Drosophila melanogaster: one gene and its partners. The protein of the gene in region 1 interacts with the protein of each later gene in a pairwise test. Each region holds a gene or a part of one and is shown in the gene's direction. Other genes may lie near its edges. The genes, in order: FoxL1, CG11771, Cdc6 and dmrt99B.

Region 1 (4,635 bases):
GGTTGGGGAGCTGCGCTGCGACTAAATAAACAGGATCCGAGGCGTTTTATGGCTTAGTGCGAGGGATATGTCAAAAAAGATGCGGTGAAATGCATAGGAAAACATAGTTTCACAACGAAAAACATCGATCGGTGTTCGAAGACGAAATCAGACCAAACCGAGCTGGGCCATAAAAAACAATATTTGTTTCCAATACTATTCCCAGCATAGGTCTAAAAATAAGCAAGCTAAACACGCAGGGCAGCGACATCTTCGAGAGAATCGGAGGACCATGGGCCATAGGATAACCCATTGTTTTATGACCCATTCTCACCAGCGGTAAGCGATCGTAAAATTTGAATAAATCGGGAGAGAGCGTGAAGAATCCTTTGTGGCATTGGCATCATCCACACATGTGAACTTCAATTGCTTCGGGCATTTTGGATTTTCAGTTCTTCGATTTGCGTTCAATGTTTTTATTTCTTTCAAATGATCTCTGCTTTCTACTTGAGAACGGAACGATCGTAAAAATCGAGCGTAGTCCTGTTTGAAATGTATACACAATTGTTTTACGACCTTTTAAGATATAGACCAAGACTTTCGGTTGCATTCGGAAAATTGCGTACTTGACTGCCGCGAGTTTACTCTCGCTTTCCTTCGTTCGCTCGGAAAAGTCGTAAAAATCGGAAGGCAACTGCCACGAGATAGCATGGGATGTCAAGGGACCAGATAATGCCGACTTCTGGCATTATCTTGCCAGCTGCTATCCGGTGGAATGTATAAACGGAGTGCTTCTTGGAATCGCTTTATTTAAATAATGTTTACAAACCAATTGAACTGACGAGTTATCAAAGCTCTTTAGTGAGTGCTATCAAGAGATTTGAAAGTTATAAAATGATTAAACATCTAAATGAACTTTTTCAAGCCAGAAAAAGGCTAAATTAGTGACTAACTCACGCAATGATTACATACATACATATGTAACCTATCATAATACTGCAGTATAATCTTTTTTAATAACTGGGACTAACGATGTACGCATGAGATCCTAGAAGCTTTACATTATTTCCAAAGATTTAAAAATTCCCTTTCAAGTGCCCGTAATTCAAGTGTAAACTTTGCTCGATTTTCATTTGTTGAAAAATCAAAATCTACATATTATTCAAAACACACTGGGACTCTCCCACACTCACTCACACATGGGGAAAAGGTCTTGACTCCGCCCATCGAGGAAAATACAGGCAAATGAGAATGGACATAAATAAACATGGAAAGAGTAGAGAACATATTTGTAGGAACGCCCCCTCAAAAGAGAGATCTGCCATATAACGGGTATATGCGAAAAAGATATAGTATAAGCAAGGATATTAATTAGTAATGATATAATCAATCTAAATCTAGTACTACAAAGTTAATAACTGAATACACTTAAATATTAACAACATCATCTTATTATATTATAACATAATAATCTCAAATATATTATACTTATTTCATATTTCAATTTATTCAATTTCTTCCTTAATAAAATTTAAATTTTTCAAGGAAAATTGTTTTCCCCTCTCTGAGAACTTACGCATGTGTGGATCTTTTGGTGAGGGTGTTTGCATATCCCTATATTTATAGACCAATGCGCTGCTCTCCCCCAAAAACACACACCCATAAGATTGGGATGAGGCATTACAAGTGATCTGCGTATCCGAGTTCATTCATTAGTCGATCGGACTTCTTGGCTGACGCAACACATGGTCCACAGTCGCGCTCGAATCGCCCACAAAATCGGAAGTAACAGCTAACCGGAAAACAGGACAAAAATCCTAAATATCTAACAAGTTAATGTGAAGTGATATTCGAAACAAAGTTCCCGAAAGATACATAAAGAGTATAAAAGAACTTTGAATCAAGTTACTGGGATTTCGTTTTGAAAAATGTTACCCTCTTGCTATGCCAATGGATCGATGCTGCCGGATAATGAGGAGCTGGTCAACTCCATGCTAGCGAATCCGGATTATCTCAGGACCCAGGTGTCACCCAATCCGCTGGCTCCAAGTGCCGTCGGAGGTGCGGGCATGGAGGGTCTGATGTGCGGATCGTTTTCACCGGCCTTCTACTACCAGGGCATCGATAGCTTTCTGGCCCTGCACAACAACATCTGGGGATTGCCTATATCCTTTCTGCACAACTCCCATCGACCGGAAAAGCCTCCTTTCTCCTACATTGCCCTCATCGCCATGGCCATCAGCAGTGCACCCAACCAGCGACTGACCCTCAGTGGAATCTACAAGTTTATCATGGATAAGTAAGTTAATTGAACAATACAAAAATACGAGATCTTTGATAGATCAATAAGTGAATTTAGTTTGTAAATCAGCAAATAAAATTTCCAATTTCTGTACATATATTCTACTAAAGCTCTTGTTTTTACAATCCTACAAAAATAAATGTTCCGCCTTGTCTTAAATCGAGGAAAATTTAGATGACATTCTTGGCTAAATCAAATGCCAAAATAAACAACCGCCACATTCCAAGTATCTGTACAAACCAAAGAAGTTTTTATCCCGAGAAGAAGTTTTTATCACGAAACTTTTGCCACAACTGGGATTAAGTCGGTGAAATATGGAGCATTAATCCAATTTCTTAATGTGAAAATATATAAATATCACGCAGATTACTTGGTAATTATCCATATGAAATGGTTTCATTTATTGGCTTAAATTTATTAGTCATATCTTTAACAAATATTAAAATATATATGTATATATTTCCTTTCCTGAATGAACAGAGTGCATAAAAAATGGCGGCCAGATATATAAAATAGATCGCAAGTAATTTGAAAAACAGGAAAATGAACAATGTGTTTGTAAACTAAATATTTCCGATTTCTTTATCAACATAAACAAATATTATTTTTATTGCTTTTTCAAATCGCTTGATTTAAACAAACCAGCGGAGGATATAGATATGGGCTAATAAGATGTGTATCAACAGCAAGTTTTTCAGATTGTAAAATGATTTTTATATATACAAATTCAGATATTCAAAGCTGTGAAATTCTGAAGTAAATAGTTTTGATAAACACGCATTCGATTTATATTTATAAAATATCTTTTCCATTGTTAATTTATTGAAAATAAAGTATATATGTTTACCCTTTCAAAATTTGATAAAAATGTCAAGGAAATATAGCTCCTAATTAATTAATTAATTGGATAATATCCAATTATTTTTTAGATTCCCATATTACAGGGAGAACAAGCAGGGCTGGCAGAACTCCATTCGCCACAATCTGTCCCTCAACGACTGCTTCGTGAAGATTCCGCGGGACAAGAACACAATCGAGGATAACGACAGTGCTGGGAAGGGAAGCTACTGGATGCTGGACTCATCGGCATCGGACATGTTCGAACAGGGAAACTACCGCCGGAGGAGAACGCGCAGGCAGAGGCACTGTGGCCATCCAAATCGCTACGAGAGGGAATCGGGAAAGGTATAATGCACATCTAAAAACTCATAAACAAATCGAATAAATGAATTTATCTGCAGGATTCAAATGATGGCAACAGTAGTGCAGCAGAGATTCGCTCGCCCAGCGAACCGCTGAGTGACTTCGATATCTTCTGCAACGAGCGGCCCAATTACTCCGACAGGATTACGGATCTGCACAGGCAGTACTTGTCCGTATCCCTGGGCTTCAACAGTCTGTTCAACAACGAGGCCCGCGGACTCCGACCACTGCCCGAGATCAGGGAATGCCCAGACGATGTGGACGCCTCGTCCAGTTCCAGCAAAGCAATGCAAAGTTCCATGGAACTGCACGAGGAGCTACATTCGCCGAGCGCCTTTACTCCTCCTCTCAATCGACGGGAAACCTCGTCATCGGGTGCACCTGTCCTTGCCGAAGCTTTTAATGGCATCAAGGATGTGGTGGATGCACCTGGGAGCAGTCCAGTGGCCAGCAGCAACCGATCAAAGACCACGCTGTTTACCATCGACAATATCATTGGCAAGCCATAAGCAATGCACCTCTTTTGGCTTAATTATCTTAATTTAGTGATAAATATTCTTGCATAAAATACATAAAAGTGATGGAGTTTTAAAATATAGATTGGTTTGCATTGGCCGTTTTCTAATTGCAAATTGAGAATTGAATTGAATTAAGCTAACTTCTTTTTGGCGGTAAATTTCAAATATGAAAGTAGTATTTTAGAGTGACCCTGCACTCTATGGCATATACTAATACGTTGAACTAGTTCCATTCAACAGGGTGAATATTTAGTATTTGTAGCCGTTACGAGCAGCGGGAAACACAGCAACACTGAGTAAACATATGTTTTTGTAGCGTAATATAAATAAAATAGCATAACACAAAATGGAATTTTTACACGAATCCGTTGCACTGGGCGTGGATCTGCTAATACTTGGCCTGTGTGCGCGCGAGTACGTGCACTACAAGCGAACTGCCAAGGTGCTGAAGGTGCGTATAGAAATACTAATGCACGTAATAAGTGGCGTTTATTGAGTGAACTGCTGCTTTTCAGGCGGCACCACAATACAACATCGATGGAGACCTAAAATCGGTGGTGGAGCGGCAGCGCGACAAGAAGATACCATATGCGGTAATCCGGGGCACAGTGACGCCCATCGGGGTGCCACTGA
Region 2 (5,086 bases), on another chromosome or scaffold:
TTCTCCCTCCTTTAATAGCAGCCAATCTAGATCCTCAAGAACCCTTTGAATTCCGACCATGTGAACTAGCAAAGGTTATCAAAGAGCAACTGAACCCAAGAAAATCGCCTGGCTACGACCTAATAACTCCAAGAATGCTCATTGAACTCCCAAAGTGTGCTATTCTTCACATCTGCCTGTTGTTCAACGCAATCGCCAAGCTTGGATACTTCCCTCAAAAATGGAAAAAGTCGACCATAGTAATGATTCCAAAGCCAGGAAAAGATAAAACGCAGCCATCATCATATAGACCGATAAGCTTACTAACATGTCTTTCAAAGCTGTTTGAAAAAATGCTACTCCTTCGGATTAGCCCTCATCTTAGAATAAACAACACACTTCCAACACATCAATTTGGCTTTAGAGAAAAACATGGAACCATCGAACAGGTCAACCGAATCACGTCAGAAATTCGTACTGCTTTTGAACATCGAGAATACTGCACAGCCATTTTTCTAGACGTCGCGCAGGCATTTGACAGAGTGTGGCTCGATGGACTTTTGTTTAAAATAATCAAGCTGTTGCCCCAAAACACACATAAGCTACTGAAGTCATACCTATATAACAGAGTGTTTGCAATAAGATGCGATACAAGCACTTCACGCGATTGCGCAATCGAAGCTGGAGTGCCGCAAGGCAGTGTACTGGGTCCAATCTTATACACCCTGTATACGGCGGATTTCCCCATAGACTACAATCTAACAACCTCCACGTTCGCTGATGATACCGCGATACTCAGTCGCTCGAAATGCCCAATAAAAGCCACGGCACTCCTATCCCGACACTTAACATCTGTAGAACGATGGCTTGCCGACTGGAGAATTTCAATAAATGTTCAAAAATGCAAGCAGGTTACCTTTACCTTAAACAAACAAACATGCCCACCACTGGTCTTGAATAACATATGCATTCCACAAGCCGACGAGGTAACATATCTGGGAGTTCATCTGGACAGGCGGCTCACTTGGCGCAAACATATAGAAGCCAAATCGAAACATCTTAAACTTAAAGCAAGGAACCTCCACTGGCTCATAAATGCTCGCTCTCCACTTAGTCTGGAGTTCAAAGCTCTTCTATACAACTCCGTCTTAAAACCTATCTGGACTTATGGCTCCGAGCTGTGGGGCAACGCATCCAGAAGTAACATAGACATTATTCAGCGAGCACAGTCAAGAATTCTGAGAATTATCACTGGAGCGCCGTGGTACCTTCGGAACGAAAACATACACAGAGACCTAAAAATCAAATTAGTAATCGAAGTAATAGCTGAGAAAAAAACGAAGTATAACGAAAAGCTGACCACCCATACAAATCCCCTCGCAAGAAAACTAATCCGAGTATGCAGTCAAAGCCGGCTGCACCGCAACGACCTCCCAGCCCAGCAATAAACTTATTAGGGCATTAATGAAAAAAAAAAAACTATCACTAAGTGAAAGTTAATTAAGTTAGATTAAGATTTGAACACTTATTGTTAGTCTCTTAACACAAAGGGAAGATTCAATAAATAATAAAAATTAAAAAAAAAAAAAAAAAAAAAAAGAGAAGTCACAGATTAGGATAGATTGGATTCAGTGACTGCAGTAAAGTGTGATTTTCGCATCACTGCCGGCTCCACCGCTGATGGTGGCAACCCTGGCCGCTGTCACTTGCTTTTTGGTCCAGGCGTGTTGTGTAAACGCTGGCCCCCATTTCAGAATCCCAAATTCCGGCGCAAACTGTCCGGAATTGTACATATCTGGATTAACGACTTCACCTAGGACATGCTAAATCTCCTACGAAGGCGCCCAACGTCGGTGCCCCTCATCCGGGCCGCGCTTAGCGCTCCGCTGCACTCAACGGAAAACCGGCCGGGTTACATAGTGCTGTAAGTACGAAAATTACCCGGATTCAACATGTGGAGTCACTAAACCTATCCCCGCAGGGTACCGGAGATCGGTGAGGAGGGACCGCTAGGCGAGGGCGTGCTCAAGCCGGACGGACTTCCCGCCTTCAGTGACATCACCATCGAGATGTGCTTGGGCGCCATTGGTCAGCAGGCATCGGCGGTGGAGAACTCGGTGAAGGCGCTGGAGAGCGACCTGCACAGTGGCAAGCAGCTAAATGCCGCCAGCATCTTTCGGGAGCTGGACACCGTGACGGGTCCACTGGAGACGACATGGGGTGTGGCCAAGGCTCTGTACCTGGGCAATTCTACCCTGATACCCACCAAATCCTACATGAACATCCACGAACGAGCGCGTAACGCTCGGGCAGCGAAGTTCTGCAATCAAACGGTGTATAAGGCACTCAAGGATGCTTCGTCCGATTCGGGTCCAGATGAGCAGAGGATGCGACAGAAGTTCCTGCTCGAGGGCAAGCTGAACGGGCTCACGCTGGACAAAGATAAGCAGGATGGACTGAAAGAGCTGCTTACCCATTTGGGTCGAGAGAGAGCCAACTTCAAGAACAAGGTCAACATGGCAGTGCACTCGTTTGGACAGATTATTACGGACTTCAATCTTGTAAGAGATTTCCCGCCTTCGCTTCTTGAGGCAACAGCCCGCGATCCCGGACAACCTATGACGGGTCCTTGGAAGATAACCCTACAGCCTCAAGTGGTCGATGGTTTTCTAAAGCACTGCCCAGAGCGAATGCAGCGTTGGAACGTCTGGAGGGCCAGTGTGCTGAAGGCATCCTCGCAGCAGGAAAAATCCCTGGAGAACAGCACACACATCGAAAAAATACGCGGTTTGCGCAAGCGACAGGCAAATCTGTTGGGCTATGAAAGCTTTGCAGACATGTCCATGCAGACCAAAATGGTGGGCAGTGTGGACAACCTTAAGCAGATCTTTGCCAAGCTTCTCAAGTTCGCCGGCCCTGCTCAAAGTGTGGAGCTGGAGAAACTACAGGGCTTCGCTCAGGACAGTGGCTGTGAATACAAGCTGGAAGCCTACGACGTTGCCTACTGGCGGCGCAAGCAACTGGCGGCGGAGCACGGTCTCCAAGATCAGAAGCTCCGCGAGTTTTTCCCACTGCCCCGCGTTCTTTCCGGCTTGTTTGCGCTGAGTGAAAAGCTCTTCGGCATCAAAATAGTTGAGCAGCCCAATGCGGAGGTGTGGCATCCGGCAGTTAAGTTCTACGATGTGTTCGATGCTGATTCCGTCAATAGCTCCACCCCGGTGGGTGGCTTTTATGTGGACTGCTATTCCAAGGAGCACAAGTTCGGCAGAAACAATGGTTGGATGGTGGGCATACGGAACAGCAATAAGTCTGCCGGGCTGACGCCTCTCTGTGCGCTGATATTTAACTTTTCGGAGCCACAAAGTCCGGATGCCAAGCCCCCGCTTCTTGGATACGATGATCTGCAGATGCTCTTCAAGACTTTTGGAAGCGGACTCCAACACCTGCTCACCCAAGCGGGGTACAGCGATTTGGCGGGACTCTCAAACATCGAGTGGGATGCCTCTCAAGTGTCCGGTCATGTGATGAGCAACTTCCTCGACGATCCCACAGTGATTCGAAGCCTATCCGGACACTTTAGCAGCGGTGAGCCCTTGGAGGCTGAGCTTTCACAGAAGATGCGATTGCTGAAGACTCAGTTGGCTGGCTATAATCTGTGCCAGGACCTCTACCTGGCGGATCTCGACGTGGAGCTGCACCGCTCGAATGCCTTCTGGCTGGAGGTGGTTCGCAAGCTGTGGCCGGTTTATCAATGCATGCCGCTGGACAAGAAGGACGCACATCCGTGCTCCCTGACCGACATTTTTGCCGGAGATTGGGCGGCCGCCCAGTTCAGTCACTTGTATTCCCGCCTCATAGCCGCCGACATTTCGAGCAGCTTTGCTGAGCAGCGAAGCGAAGAGAACTACGCGGTCGTTGGCCGGCGCTACAAGCAGACCTTCCTCAGCTGCGGCGGATCTGTGCCCACGGCGGAAGTGTTCCGTCGCTTCCAGGGTCGCGACCCGTCGGCCGAGGCACTTCTAAAGTCGCTGGACATATTTGAACCCTCCCAGACCACAGATAACAACTGAGGGTCGCCCTCTGTTCCGCTAAAACGTTATCTATTGTGTGTAGTCAACAAATGCTGATCGATGGCAGCCTGTGGAGGCCCGACGAGTGGCAACCTTATAGGAAAGTAAGCATTGGAGTATTGGAAAATATTTTAAAATAGTTTTGAAATGTATTCTGTTAAATATTTGTTTATTGGTCAAGATCCCACTTGTACTTATTTAAAAGAAAGTATAGCCGTAATTGAATGACCCCAGCCAGGAAACTGAAAACCAAAAACGATTGATAAGGGCTTTATAAATTTTGGAAGTGTAACTATTAAAACAAGAATTCTATACTTTACGCCTCCACGATTTATTAGTCGGCAATTCGATCTACACCCTAATTGGCAGCCGGATGTGATAGCGATCGCGTGAGTCAGGCGGGATCTTATCGCAGGTGTGCAGGTGGTGTCGCCAGGCGACATCGTCAGTTACCCCAGTTGAACACACATACACACACACGTTGTTGCTTTATTTAAATAATACTTTAATAATAAATTGCATAAATTTATAACATTTAACATATTCTCTCGCTTCTTGCTCGGTTCTCTCGATTCGGTTCGATATATTTATATACACAACAAAGGCGAAGTATGCATTCAGCGGAAAGGAAAAAGACATCTAGGGGTTTGGATGGAAACCGAGGATTAAGAGCTATCATCTGTCTTGGCCTTCTGTTGGAAAGCCACTAGAAATGGTTAACCGGTAGTCAGGAAGAAATAATCAAAGTACATTTCGACGCAGGGGTATGGATTAAACTTGGTTAGTTTACAGGAATTAATTTATATATATATATATATATAAATATGCTCTAGATCAAAGTGTGGTACTACAATATGCGTATGTGCTGCTCCGAAATCAGTCGGAGCGTGTCCCGCTGTGGTGTGTTAGTTGTGTGTGGAGGCTGGATATCTGAAAACTTTAGAATATTCGCTAAGGCTGCTATGTGTGGTAGTGGCTGCAGTTGCTCCCTTGGCTGCTCCGTTGGCTACTGCTGTCTAGTATATGTCCGGACAGCC
Region 3 (5,009 bases), 4.6 Mb from region 1:
GACAACAATAATCGAGGGTTAGTCTGTACAGACAGGCAGGGGAAAACACGGGAAACTTGGCAAACATTCCTCATATTCAATTTAATTTGTCTCAAGGCAAGTTCAGGTACAATTCCACGTTCTTGCTCATTGTGCTTTCCATATCAAAGTGAAAGTGAAAGTGAAAGGATTCAATCAAAGAACGAAATCAGGCTGTGCTCAAGATATGAATTTACTTTTACCCGTTAAGTTTTGTTGGCAAAGGACGATGCAAAGGACTGTCCTTCAAGCGATTGCTTTCGCTTGTGGCGAAGCTACAACAATATACATAGAATATATATAGGATATATAGAGAGTGGTATATTTATATATGTAAATGTATATAAATGCATGTAAAACAGAGATCCGGCAGTAGGCAGTAGTAAGTAGTACGTACAACATCTATGGACTGGTTTTCGTGTTCAATCGTATGTTCGAATTGTGTGTGTTTCTCATTTCGTGTGTGCATCGGTTTAGTAAATTTCGTTTCGACTTTGATTTTGTGGCTTTTGGGTTAGTGGATTATGGCCGCAGCTTAACCAGGAACCAATTTTTCGGGTTATGTGGACCTTAGGCTACTCGTAACCGTGTGTTCGTGACTCGTTTTATTAGTTTTCAAGCTACTTGGCGCATTTCGAGTGGCTCTCTCTGTCTCTCTGGCAAAAAGAAAAGCTGCATCAAAAATTTCGAAGAACTCTACGCAGGTTTATTCGTAAATTGCAAAATCCAAAGAATATGTAGCGTAATTCATAGGCTTATAAGTTCAATTTGACAAGCGAATTCCAAAAGTTCATATATTAGTGTTTTTTTTTTTTCATTGTATCGAGCTAAGCATAGGAGTTTCCAGATGGTACATTTCTGGGTGACAACTTACGGAACTGTGGATCTGATGGTGTCCTCGATGTTGTTGTTGGAGTACAGGCCAATGGGCGAGTTGAATTGCTTGTGGAAGACCTAAAATCGGGGGATATATGTACACAAATGTAAGTAAAACCCATTACAACTTACACTTAAATTAAATACAATCAATTTCGTAACAGGATTAGAACAAAGACTACAGGTCACGAATTCGAAATGTTAACATTGAAAATATCAATTTTAAATGTAGAAAACTCTAGTTTTTGTAATTTTCCATTATGTGGGTGTGACTTTAAGAAGTCCCCTGTACTTACGCGGCCAGTGTCGGCTTCCGAACCGACCACCTTGTGCAGCATGGTGTCGGCCACGCGCTGCTTCATGATACTGTCATGGTAGTCGTGTCCTGGGTGGGCGCGCACAGCCGGGTTGGGGTAGTGCCTCAAGTAGGACTCTGTCGTGGGCGCATCCTTCTTCACTTTGGCGCCGGGCAGGACCAGCGGAGTTGTACGGTAGGGCTGGAAAGCGGATCGGTGAAGATTAACGACTTTGTTTACGCCGAAATGGGGCACACATTTGGCCGACCAGCCGTTGCGGCAAATGATAATATAAATAAATCAGACAGAGATTAAAAGAGTTTCTAGAAATCACCAGATCTTTGCCCACTGTGCTACGTATTTCTCCTTCGAGCGTGTGTGTGCATAATTTTTTTCGCTATATCTAAATTCCATTTTATGTGCGCCCGTTTATATACTTTAAAAATATCCCATAGCCAGGGGAAATATTTTTAGGCGCTTACGTAAGCGTGTTCAACGTCCAGCGATTTGTGTTTTCTATCTGCCGCGGACCATTTTATTTTTACCAGGCCGTCCACACGCGAGTATGTAAGTAATTCAATATAGGCGGACTGCTGTTTGAAATGTTGTAACTATGCGCGCCTAATCGATAGGCGATCGACAATAGGCAGCTCTGGGCTAGAGCTGCCAGATGACCAGACCAGGCTTGATCAGCTGTTGCTCGTGGCGAATGGCAAACTCAATTTGCGCGCTTTTTTAACTGTGACTGCCAGCTGAAAATTGTAACGCACGCTGTGGCTTATTTAACTCGTATTTAATAGTAACTAACTGCTGATCAATAAACTAAGCTAAAGAATGGCTGCCGTACGCCGCTCCACGCGCCTTAGTAGCATCAGCAAAGCGACCGCCGCCTCTCCGCTGCCGCCGTCGACGCAGACGCCGCGTCGCTCGGAAGTTTGGAAACGCAGGCAGCCGAAAAAAGTGCTTGCCGATAGCGACGAGGAGGAGGAGGTGGTGACGGCGATCTATGACCTGACCAGCCCCGTTTCAGAGAACAACGAGAACCGCAACGTGCTCAACAAAATGGACAAGATCTCCAGGCGCAGGACATCGCAAGTGCAGGTGGCTCAATCGGAGCTGCCAAAGACGCCACGCAGCACAAAGAAAACAGTCCAATCAGCTGGCAGTTCACGGGCCAAACGTGAGGAGGAAAACCGTGAGGCCACCGCTAGATTCTTGGAGGGCGAACAGGATTCGGAGGTGGACCCGCTTCATGGATCGCCGCCGAAGCAGAGGAAGTTGCAGCCACTGCCACAGCACCTGATCAGTCCTTCGCGGCTGCTGGACAGACTCAGCATCGACGAGCGCCAGGAGGAAGAGGTGGAGGCGACCACACACAAGACTGAAACGGCTGAGCAGCAGCCGAAACATCAAGCCAAGGACGAGGCAAAGCCTCGGCCAAAACAGCAGGAGGATCCATTAGCGCAAAAGCAGCAGGAGAAACCTCCAACAAAGCAGCCGAATAAAAACCAAACTAAAGAAAAAAGCAATATCCAAACCAATGAGGAAACCCAACAGAATAACCTGCCATCTCCCTCACGCAACAAATACCAAAACGCCAGACGAGTGCTCAACAGCGCCGAGACACAAAACTTGCCAGGACGTGAGTCCCAGCTCCAAGAGCTACGTGAATTCTTCAGCAATCACCTGGAAAGCCAGACTTCCGGCAGCCTCTATGTCTCCGGTCAGCCAGGAACAGGCAAGACCGCCTGCCTATCGCTACTGCTGAGAGATCCCGACTTCTCCAAGCGTCTGCAACGTGTGTACATTAACTGCACCAGCATAGCAAGTGTAGGAGCAGTTTACAAGAAACTATGCACCGAACTGCAGCTCAAAGTCAGCGGTCGCACAGAGAGAGATCACTTGGAGGCCATTCAGCGTCACCTAAAGACAGCAAAGCGAATGCTTCTGCTGGTGCTGGACGAGATTGATCAGCTCTGCACCAGCAGGCAGGAGGTGTTGTACACGATCTTCGAGTGGCCAGCTCTTCCCGGCTCCAGGATACTGCTCGTGGGCATTGCCAATAGTTTGGATCTCACAGATCGTGCGCTGATGCGACTGAATGCAAGGTGCGAGCTGAAGCCCAGACTGATGCACTTCCCGCCCTACTCCAAGCAGCAGATCGTGGAGATATTCAAGTCGCGTCTGGCTGAGGCGGAAGTGCTGGACGTCTTTCCACCCGTGACCCTGCAGCTGCTGGCCGCCAAGGTGAGTGCGATCAGTGGAGATGTGCGAAGGGCCCTGGACATTGGACGACGAGTGGTCGAGATAGCAGAGCAGCAGAAGCGCGATGGCGAAAAGGAGTTCAATATGAAGGCCCTGCAGCTGGAGGGCAAGGATGCGGTGGAGGCCAAGGAAAAGCAAGGTAAACCTTCGTTTCTTTAGTATATAAAGATAAATTTATAGAATGTGTTAAAAAGAAATCCTATCTTGACTATTTCAGACACTCTAAAGCCTGTTCAGGTCACCCAAGTGGCTGCAGTGCTGAACAAGGTCTACGGTGCCTCACAGAATCTGGAGGAGGACATCGAGGCATCATTTCCGCTGCAGCAAAAGCTAATGCTGTGCACCCTGGTGCTGATGCTGCGCAACGAGCGCAACAAAGACATCAGTATGGGTCGCCTGCACGAGGTCTACAGGAGAGTGTGCGCCAAACGCAACATCCTGGCCCTGGACCAAGCGGAGTTCACTGGGACTGTGGATCTGGTCGAGACCCGAGGCATTCTGCGAATCATGCGCAAAAAGGAGCCGCGCCTGCACAAGGTTCTGCTGCAGTGGGACGAGGAGGAGGTGCATGCGGCACTGAGCGACAAGCAGCTGATCGCCTCGATCCTCAGCGATACCGCCTGCCTGAGCAAGTGACGATCTGGACGATTACCTCTAGGAAATGAGTGTGCCCGACAAACCGCTGGTTAATTGCGCATTTTTCTCATTTTCATTCACCTTGGGGACGAACGTATATGTATAGGAATACTTTTTGACGCTAATTTTAAAATTCGTGGCTGGCGCAAGCACTGAAATATTTTGAAATATCATTTGACGGTCACTTTCGACATTTTCTGCTATTTTCTGACTATTAATTGAATCGATTCTTTTAGACTTTGTGTGTGTCATAAATCTAAGTAAATGTTGCGCCCATAATCTATTTCTAATCCGATCCGTTGACCAATAAGTTATAGAGAATCCCCTTCCTGTTAGCCCTAAGCAAATAAGAATAAACTAGATAGTTCCGCAATACATAAAACGCAAAAGTGAAAACGTTTTCCACTTTCGCTGCGCCGCAAGTTTGAATCTTGGGTCGTGCCAAAAGTTGTGAAAATCTTAGGGAAAGTCTGTTGCCATTGTTTTCTGAGGCGTTTTCAGAACATACCAGTCAAATTAACACCAGTGCTTCTGAATTTGTGTGGGCTTTTGTTGGCCATCTCGACATGAAATTAATTTGTTCTATAATCATTTTGTTTATTTATTTGCTGGCTTATTGTTGTTCTTCCTGCGCTCTCTGCTCTAAAAATATCCCCATTTGAGTGGTATGAATTACATTGAGCACCACCGACACAACCAGAGCGCAATGAAAAATATGTTTCAAAAACTCTGGTTGCCTTTCGACGCGTATTGACGAAAGGCGAACAAATGTTTGAATAATAAGCTATATGCAGAGAGGCCAGCTAGATATATGCATGAATGTATCTATAGGTATATGGCGTTCTATATTCCTATTCCTCAAAAATACATATATTTCTGAGGGAGCAGTAAGGCGAAAAACCTCGAAAAACATACAGG
Region 4 (6,768 bases), on another chromosome or scaffold:
TTGCATATTTGGTCGCAGTAAAAACACTTTATAAGTGGCCACCCAGGGCAGCAGCCTGCGTGTGTTTGTGTGTAGATGTGAGTGTGTGTACATAGGCGCACTTTAAACAAAGTTAAAATGCGAGAAATTGGCCCTGCGCAAAACACCAGTAGCTCCACGGTAACAGCAGCAGCAGCAGCTTCTGGCCATTTACTGTTGCCAACAACTGTGACCTGCCCAAAAAGACGATGCCAGCGGAACTGGAACTGCCCCCTATTTCCCAGTGTGTGTGTGCGTGTGTGTGTGTGTAGAGGTCCTTAGGCAACTCGCACACAAGCACACGCGCGCAAACACCGACACAGACAGACTGGAAACTTGTTTCTTTTGGTCAACTTGTACAACATTGTTGCCGCTTTATGTTCTTCTATTTCTACAGCGTGTGCGTGAGTCCTATGGCTCCTCCTCTTTTCGTGGGCGGAGTCTCCGCGCGAGAGAGCGAACATCTCTCGGAGAAACGAAGAACGTCAGAGAGAGAGAGAGAGAGGCGCGCGCAGCTGCCTCTTTCGCAGACGCGGCTGTCTCGCTCGCTCAGCACGAGTGCTCAGTTTGTTTCAATTGCAATTATTTTGTAACATTCCAATAGGCCAATAGACCCAACCCACTGGCCAAAAAAAAGTTAAAAATTACCTAACGAAAACTCTCATTCCGACGCAGCGGGATATGCGGCACATTATGTAAAGGACTCTTTATGTAAAATGGGTTTTGTTCTTTTAAATAGATTAAAGTAGCAAATTGATATCACATTGTATATCCTTTTAAACGCTATAAAAGTTAATATACGTTATGATTTTCTGTTAAATACCTATCTTTATGGTTTGTTTCTTGTTTAACATATCATCTCATGTCTATACTTTTATGCAGCTGTAAATAAGTAATTATTATGCCTCTGTTTGTCAATTTTGTTCATGGAGATTTCAACACTTGAGACATTTGAACAGCGGCAGCTGGAAATGAAAAGCAAGTGGCGATGTGCCACAACCTAAGGTAGAAACTTTAGTTTTTCAAAAACAGGGGCCTGGGAATTTTAGATATCCCCCCAAAACCCCTCGAAAAGCAACAACTGCGCTGCCAACTGTGTCAGTTGAGTGTGTTTGTATGTGTGTGTGTGTGTGTTGGCCATGCCAACCAGCGGCGAGGTCGCAACAACAACGCTTTTGGTTGGCTATTCCATTAGCCCAAAAGCCGAGAGCCCCAAGCGCTCACGCACACAGCAAGCCGCTGAGCAGTTGAGCAGCTGAAGAGCGGCATAAAAAATAATTGTGAAACAAAGGCAACAAAGAAAATGAAAGAAACCCCAAACAACCACCAGAACAGCACCACACCACCGAAGCACCACCACCACCACCACCACCACCACTACCATGGCAATTCCCTTTGAGAACCAACCAGTGCGGAGTGCTCTCCCGCCACATTACTCATACGCCGCGTCGCCGCCTCGAGTGCACAATTTTGTATACAGTACCAAATTAGATTTGAAACTTTTTTCTTAATTGCCAACCCTCCGCCGTCGCAGCCGGCGTCGCCGTTGGCGCAGGCAGCGACGCCGACGCAGGCAGCTGCGGCGCACAAAGGTGGTTGCAACACTCTCGGAATCGGGGATATATCCCCTATATCCAGTTTGCATGTACATGCCCACGAGCGTATCCGCGCACTTTCAACCCTCGTCAGCCGCTTTTGTATTGGTAAATGTTGCCGCTTGCCGCCATTGCTGAACGTCCGACGTCGAGCGTCGTGCGCTGCGGCCTTTTGGCCAAAAGTTGAATCAGTTGCAATCGAGGGCTCACTGTGTCATGTCGTTAGCGCGCGTGGATTGAATTCGAGAACTATGCGGATATAAATAGTTAAACAATAAAACAATCAAACTACAAGCTAACAACAAACAATTAAATACTAATCAAATAAGCTAAAGTGAAGTGTGTGCTCAGAAGTTTTTGACCTAACAACTAAATCCACATCGAGGTTTCTGATCTTCACGTCGAAATGAGTCTACCGTCGGGTGTGGACATGCAGAATCTGATGTCCCAGCATCCGGTCTTGGGAGCACTGCCACCTGCTTTCTTCTTGCGAGCCGCCTCGGAACGCTACCAAAGGACGCCCAAGTGCGCCCGCTGCAGGAACCACGGAGTGGTAGGTCCCTCGGTCATATACCATCCGGCATCTGGAGATTTTCTTTACCCACTGGATCCCCTTTCCATTTCGAACCTTTTGCAGGTCAGCGCCTTGAAGGGACACAAACGCTACTGCCGCTGGCGGGATTGCGTCTGCGCCAAATGCACTCTAATCGCGGAACGCCAAAGGGTTATGGCTGCTCAGGTGGGTTTCTACTTTAATATAGAAGGAATTACGTGGAAAGAATTGGAATAAATGTTATAGAATGAAGAAGATTGCTGAATTCATCTATATAGTTCAGTTAAAGAGAACCTATGTATGCTTAAAAGCAGGTTTTTTTTTATAGTATAGCATGGAAATCAAGTACTACTTCAAAATTGCAAAACTCCTCTGTTGACTTCAGTTAAAAATCATAGTAATATTAATGCATCTCCCTGTTACACGCCACTGATCAAAGATCCGCTTTCCGCCCATGCCCTCCTTGTTGCAGGTGGCCCTTCGACGCCAACAGGCCCAAGAAGAGAACGAGGCCCGCGAGCTGGGCCTGCTCTACACTTCGGTTCCTGGCCAGCAGAATGGCAGCGACAGTGCTACGCCCACTCCGCACAGCCCCAACCACAGCGGCAGCGGCGGCTCGGGCAGCGGAGGATCGGGCCAGAACGGCGTCTTCCACGGCGGGATTCCCTCGCCACCCAGCGACGGCTTCGAGGCCAGCTCCACTCCCAATCATCACCAGCAGTCGCAGCAGCAGCAGCAGGCGCACCACCAACAGCACCTTAGCCACCCACACCAGCAGTCCCAGCGGTTCAATGGCAATGAATCCGACACGGATGGACGCACCCGTTCCGAGCACCTCAGCGTCGGTTTCTCGCCCACCAGAACCGAGCTGGATGAGAGTCCTGGTGAGTGAAGTAAAGAATACTGCACACAGCTAACACCGGGAGAATATGTGACTGTGTGACTTGGGAAATGAAGTAACATCAAATATCACAGCACATATCTTATAAATTGAGATCTATTCTAAAACCAAGAAAACAGTTTTCCTTGAAGTTCTTCAAATGTTTACTGCTTATGAAATAGCATTACTTCCATTACACTCCATTTCGAAGGACACACTGACTTATTTTGCGCAGTGCAGCCGCTTAAGAAGCCATTCACGCCTGGCCATCTCAAGAAGAGGTCTTGAGAGTCTTGGGGGAGGGCAGGTTAAAAGCGCGTTAAGAAAAATTTGTTTTCGATTGTTCAGAAATCAGCGGTGCATAAAGTGCCACACTCGCGGTTGCATGTGCATTTGGCTGCGTGTATGCAAGTGGCGAAGTGGTGCTAGTGAGCGGGGCATAGGTGTTGTTTTGACAAAGACTTAGCCAGCCAAGCTGCAGTCGTGCACTTTGCCAAGCGGCGCGTGAAAAGGTCCTGGGGTTGCAGCCAGGCCAGGACATCAAGGGGCGCAAATTGCAACAATCGAGTTAAAGTCCTCGTTAGGAGGAAAACACTTGATTTAACGTGGTGCTCATTTCAGGGAAGGTTTTAAAGGCAAATAACTTGAAATTTCCGACAAAAATGTTCCATTACATCATATAATATCAAATGGCAAACTCTGAAATGCTGGTCGTCTCAAAACACTTGTGTGCTAGAATTTTACTCTTTTTCCCACAAAAAAACCCTCTCAATAGCTGAACAATAAAAGTTATTGTAACATTATCCAACATTATTTGTTATTATCCGAAATAAGCCAATCAATTCCAACCAGATCATCTCAGATTGCCCTGCCATCGCAACTCAAACCACTGGCCCATTAAACGCCAAACAGTTGCAAGTCTGTCGAGAATTTGAAAGGACCTTCGACCCCGCCTGCTTATTAGGACTATCGGCTGTGCAGATGGGGGTTATTACCCATAAGGTAACCCCATGCCAAGGGTTCTGGCAGGCCAGAAACGTGAGATACCCCCCCTGACTCAGCTCACTTGTCTTTATTTGTTTGCCCTTTCGGAGGAAGTGGTTTTTTCCAGCTCGAGAAAGAAAAACACAGCAGGATTCTCACGCGAATCAATCGGGAAAACCTGTCTATTTAAGTACCGGACTCTATTATTTGCCATGAAATCCAAGACGATTTCACGCTTGAATTTTTATTTTCGACTAAAGAGTGCGGCATTCGAGTTGGGTATTGGTATCCACGCACCCTCGACTTAATTAAATTTTTACTGCGGCTTCGTCAACTGCAAAATTAAACAGACTCGCACAAAAATATCATATAGCTTGTTTCATTTGTGGAAAAAAACAGCAGGTTGTCCCTCGTTGGCATGTCAACATCGCATCCTGAACTCCCTGCTCCTTCCACCGCCTTTGTTTGCGATGCCCCTGATTAAATTCCTTCCCATCTCTACACTTGATACTTTTATTTGCTCTAAGCTGCCAAGTGGAAACTGTGCGGTTTTCCACTGGCTACCTGAATCGCTTCGTCGATGGAAATCGATACCTGCGATTTTGGGAAAAACAATTGCTCAATAGGAAGTACACACTCTCGTAGGAGAACTATTACAAGATACTACTCTTAATGCATTTACATATCAACTGGCGACTAATCTGTATATACCTTCATTGTATTCCTTGCTTGCAGTGTCCAAGCGCGGAGCAGCCCTGTCGAACGAGACCGACCAGGACACGGGCTCCGAGTCCGGATCGCCGAGTAGTCCCCGGCCCAAGGTCGCCGGACTGTTCAATCTGACCGCCAGCTTGTCGCCCGCCCGCACTGGACCGCCCAGCTCGCCGGAATCGGATCTGGACGTGGATTCGGCGCCGGATGAGGCCACGCCGGAGAATCTCAGTCTCAAGAAGGAGGACAGCCAGTCGCCGCCCAACACGCCCGCCGAGAATCTTCATCTGCTGCGATCCTTCAGCAGCAGTCATGCCCAGGGCTTCCTGCCATATCACCACACGCAGTTCCTGGCCGCCGCCGGCCTGCCCGCCCACCACCACCCAGCGGCACACTCGCCGCACCACCAGCAGCAGCAACAGCAGCAGCAGCAGCAGCAGAACCACCTGCCACAGCACCACCAGCAACAGCAGCAGCAGCAGCAACAGCAGCAGAGATCGCCCATCGACGTCCTGATGAGGGTGTTCCCCAACCGACGGCGCAGCGATGTGGAGCAGCTGATGCAGCGGTTCCGTGGCGACGTGCTCCAGGCCATGGAGTGCATGCTGGCTGGCGAGGATTTGGGACAGACTCCGCCGCAGGTGCCGCCATCGCCGCCCTTTCCCATGAAGTCCGCCTTCTCCCCGCTGGTGCCGCCCTCGGTTTTCGGCTCCCCCACCCATCGCTACCATCCCTTCATGCAGGCGCACGCCAAGCGATTCCTGACTGCTCCCTACGCCGGAACCGGCTACCTTCCGGGAGTGCTCAGTGCGGCGGATATCGAGCAATCCGAGTCCAACGGAGCGGGCGGCATAGGGTTGGATCGCACCAGCAATGCTGGCGACTCCCAGGATTGAGGCATCGAGGTGGAGGCCAGCGGCGCATCCGTCTTCAGGCCTTTCGAATAAGGTTCCCACCCCTGCTACACTGCGGAAAAATGTGAACACTTTACGAGTCAAGAACACAATTCTTAACTTCAATGAGTTTTAGAGCTCTCGTTTGTTTTTATAATATTTTCAGTCAGCTGAAACCATAGAAGTTTTTCATTGCAGAAAGAACTTTCTTGATTTTTGAGCAACTGTTTCTCGCAGTGCACGTCCCGCAACTAAGTGTAAATTACATTTGCCCTCGACTCTTAGCACAAGTATTGTAACATAGAGACCGTATAAGTAAATAATACGTTTAATGAATTAAAACTTAAGAAAAACCATACACTCGATCCCAGTTATAAGAAGTATTTGTTTAGCTGAAATTAACATTATGACGATGATGAGATTATTGTGTAAGCGATTGTTGATTGCAACCAACTAATTGAGATATCCGTGTGTACCATATGAATATGAGCATATATATAATTATATTAAACATCATATTATGTCTTAGATAAAGTACATTTCAAACACTGTGTTAAAGTATTTAATAAATCTACAAATAATTCAATAAAATAATGAAGAAATTAATTCGATGCTATTTTTTTGTCGGGGAATATTGGTGTTTTTTTTTCCTACATGCATAGATAGATAGATAAGATACATCTTCAGTCTGCAAATGTACTGATGAATGTGCTGAATAGCCCAATTATAGTGTAATTATTTTGATGAATGCATAATGCATTCCAATTAAATCGTTTGGGCCTACGCTAAATGCCTGACTAATCAGATCAATAAATAAGGATATTTAATACAAAACTTCCATTGTTCGGAAATCCCTTAGTCCGGGTCATAGCTGGGTAAATAAACAATTTTCACAGCACGTAATGTATATTCGTGAGAAGTCGACCGGATAACAATGGGCCGCCCACAAGCACCCCAAAGAAATTGAAATACAAATAGGAAACTACTGCGATTATAGAGGCCACCCACGATTCGAAATTCAAAATTCCCAACTGGTCATCACGCGATGGCCAAATAATAATGCGAAGCGTTAATCCGTATCATCATTATCTATTTGCCACTATTTTGAGGGCAGTGCCACAAGACCCCGGAAAA

What was found.
Region 2: the proteins of FoxL1 (region 1) and CG11771 interact in a two-hybrid assay, tested with the Drosophila melanogaster proteins (one large-scale study listed by BioGRID).
Region 3: the proteins of FoxL1 (region 1) and Cdc6 interact in a two-hybrid assay, tested with the Drosophila melanogaster proteins (one large-scale study listed by BioGRID).
Region 4: the proteins of FoxL1 (region 1) and dmrt99B interact in a two-hybrid assay, tested with the Drosophila melanogaster proteins (one large-scale study listed by BioGRID).

The regions. Positions count from the first base shown.
Region 1 is NT_037436.4:4,017,187-4,021,821, forward strand, and holds FoxL1 (forkhead box L1), read left to right. Parts: upstream 1-1,691; 5' UTR 1,692-1,907; coding exon 1,908-2,278; intron 2,279-3,210; coding exon 3,211-3,466; intron 3,467-3,522; coding exon 3,523-3,993; 3' UTR 3,994-4,093; downstream 4,094-4,635. Other genes in the region: Mul1 (mitochondrial E3 ubiquitin protein ligase 1), read left to right, coding at 4,349-4,453, 4,518-4,635. UniProt on the Drosophila melanogaster protein: Transcription factor. Coordinates the placement and migration of various organs during embryogenesis, including the salivary glands, hemocytes, germ cells and Malpighian tubules.
Region 2 is NT_033777.3:24,930,334-24,935,419, forward strand, and holds CG11771 (uncharacterized protein), read left to right. Parts: upstream 1-1,676; 5' UTR 1,677-1,799; coding exon 1,800-1,903; intron 1,904-1,960; coding exon 1,961-4,049; 3' UTR 4,050-4,586; downstream 4,587-5,086. Other genes in the region: Osbp (oxysterol binding protein), read right to left, coding at 5,066-5,086.
Region 3 is NT_037436.4:8,630,965-8,635,973, reverse strand, and holds Cdc6 (cell division cycle 6), read left to right. Parts: upstream 1-1,904; 5' UTR 1,905-2,024; coding exon 2,025-3,594; intron 3,595-3,672; coding exon 3,673-4,091; 3' UTR 4,092-4,465; downstream 4,466-5,009. Other genes in the region: Zasp66 (Z band alternatively spliced PDZ-motif protein 66), read right to left, coding at 222-293, 893-972, 1,191-1,391.
Region 4 is NT_033777.3:29,690,788-29,697,555, forward strand, and holds dmrt99B (doublesex-Mab related 99B), read left to right. Parts: upstream 1-1,803; 5' UTR 1,804-2,019; coding exon 2,020-2,166; intron 2,167-2,250; coding exon 2,251-2,352; intron 2,353-2,638; coding exon 2,639-3,050; intron 3,051-4,765; coding exon 4,766-5,637; 3' UTR 5,638-6,238; downstream 6,239-6,768.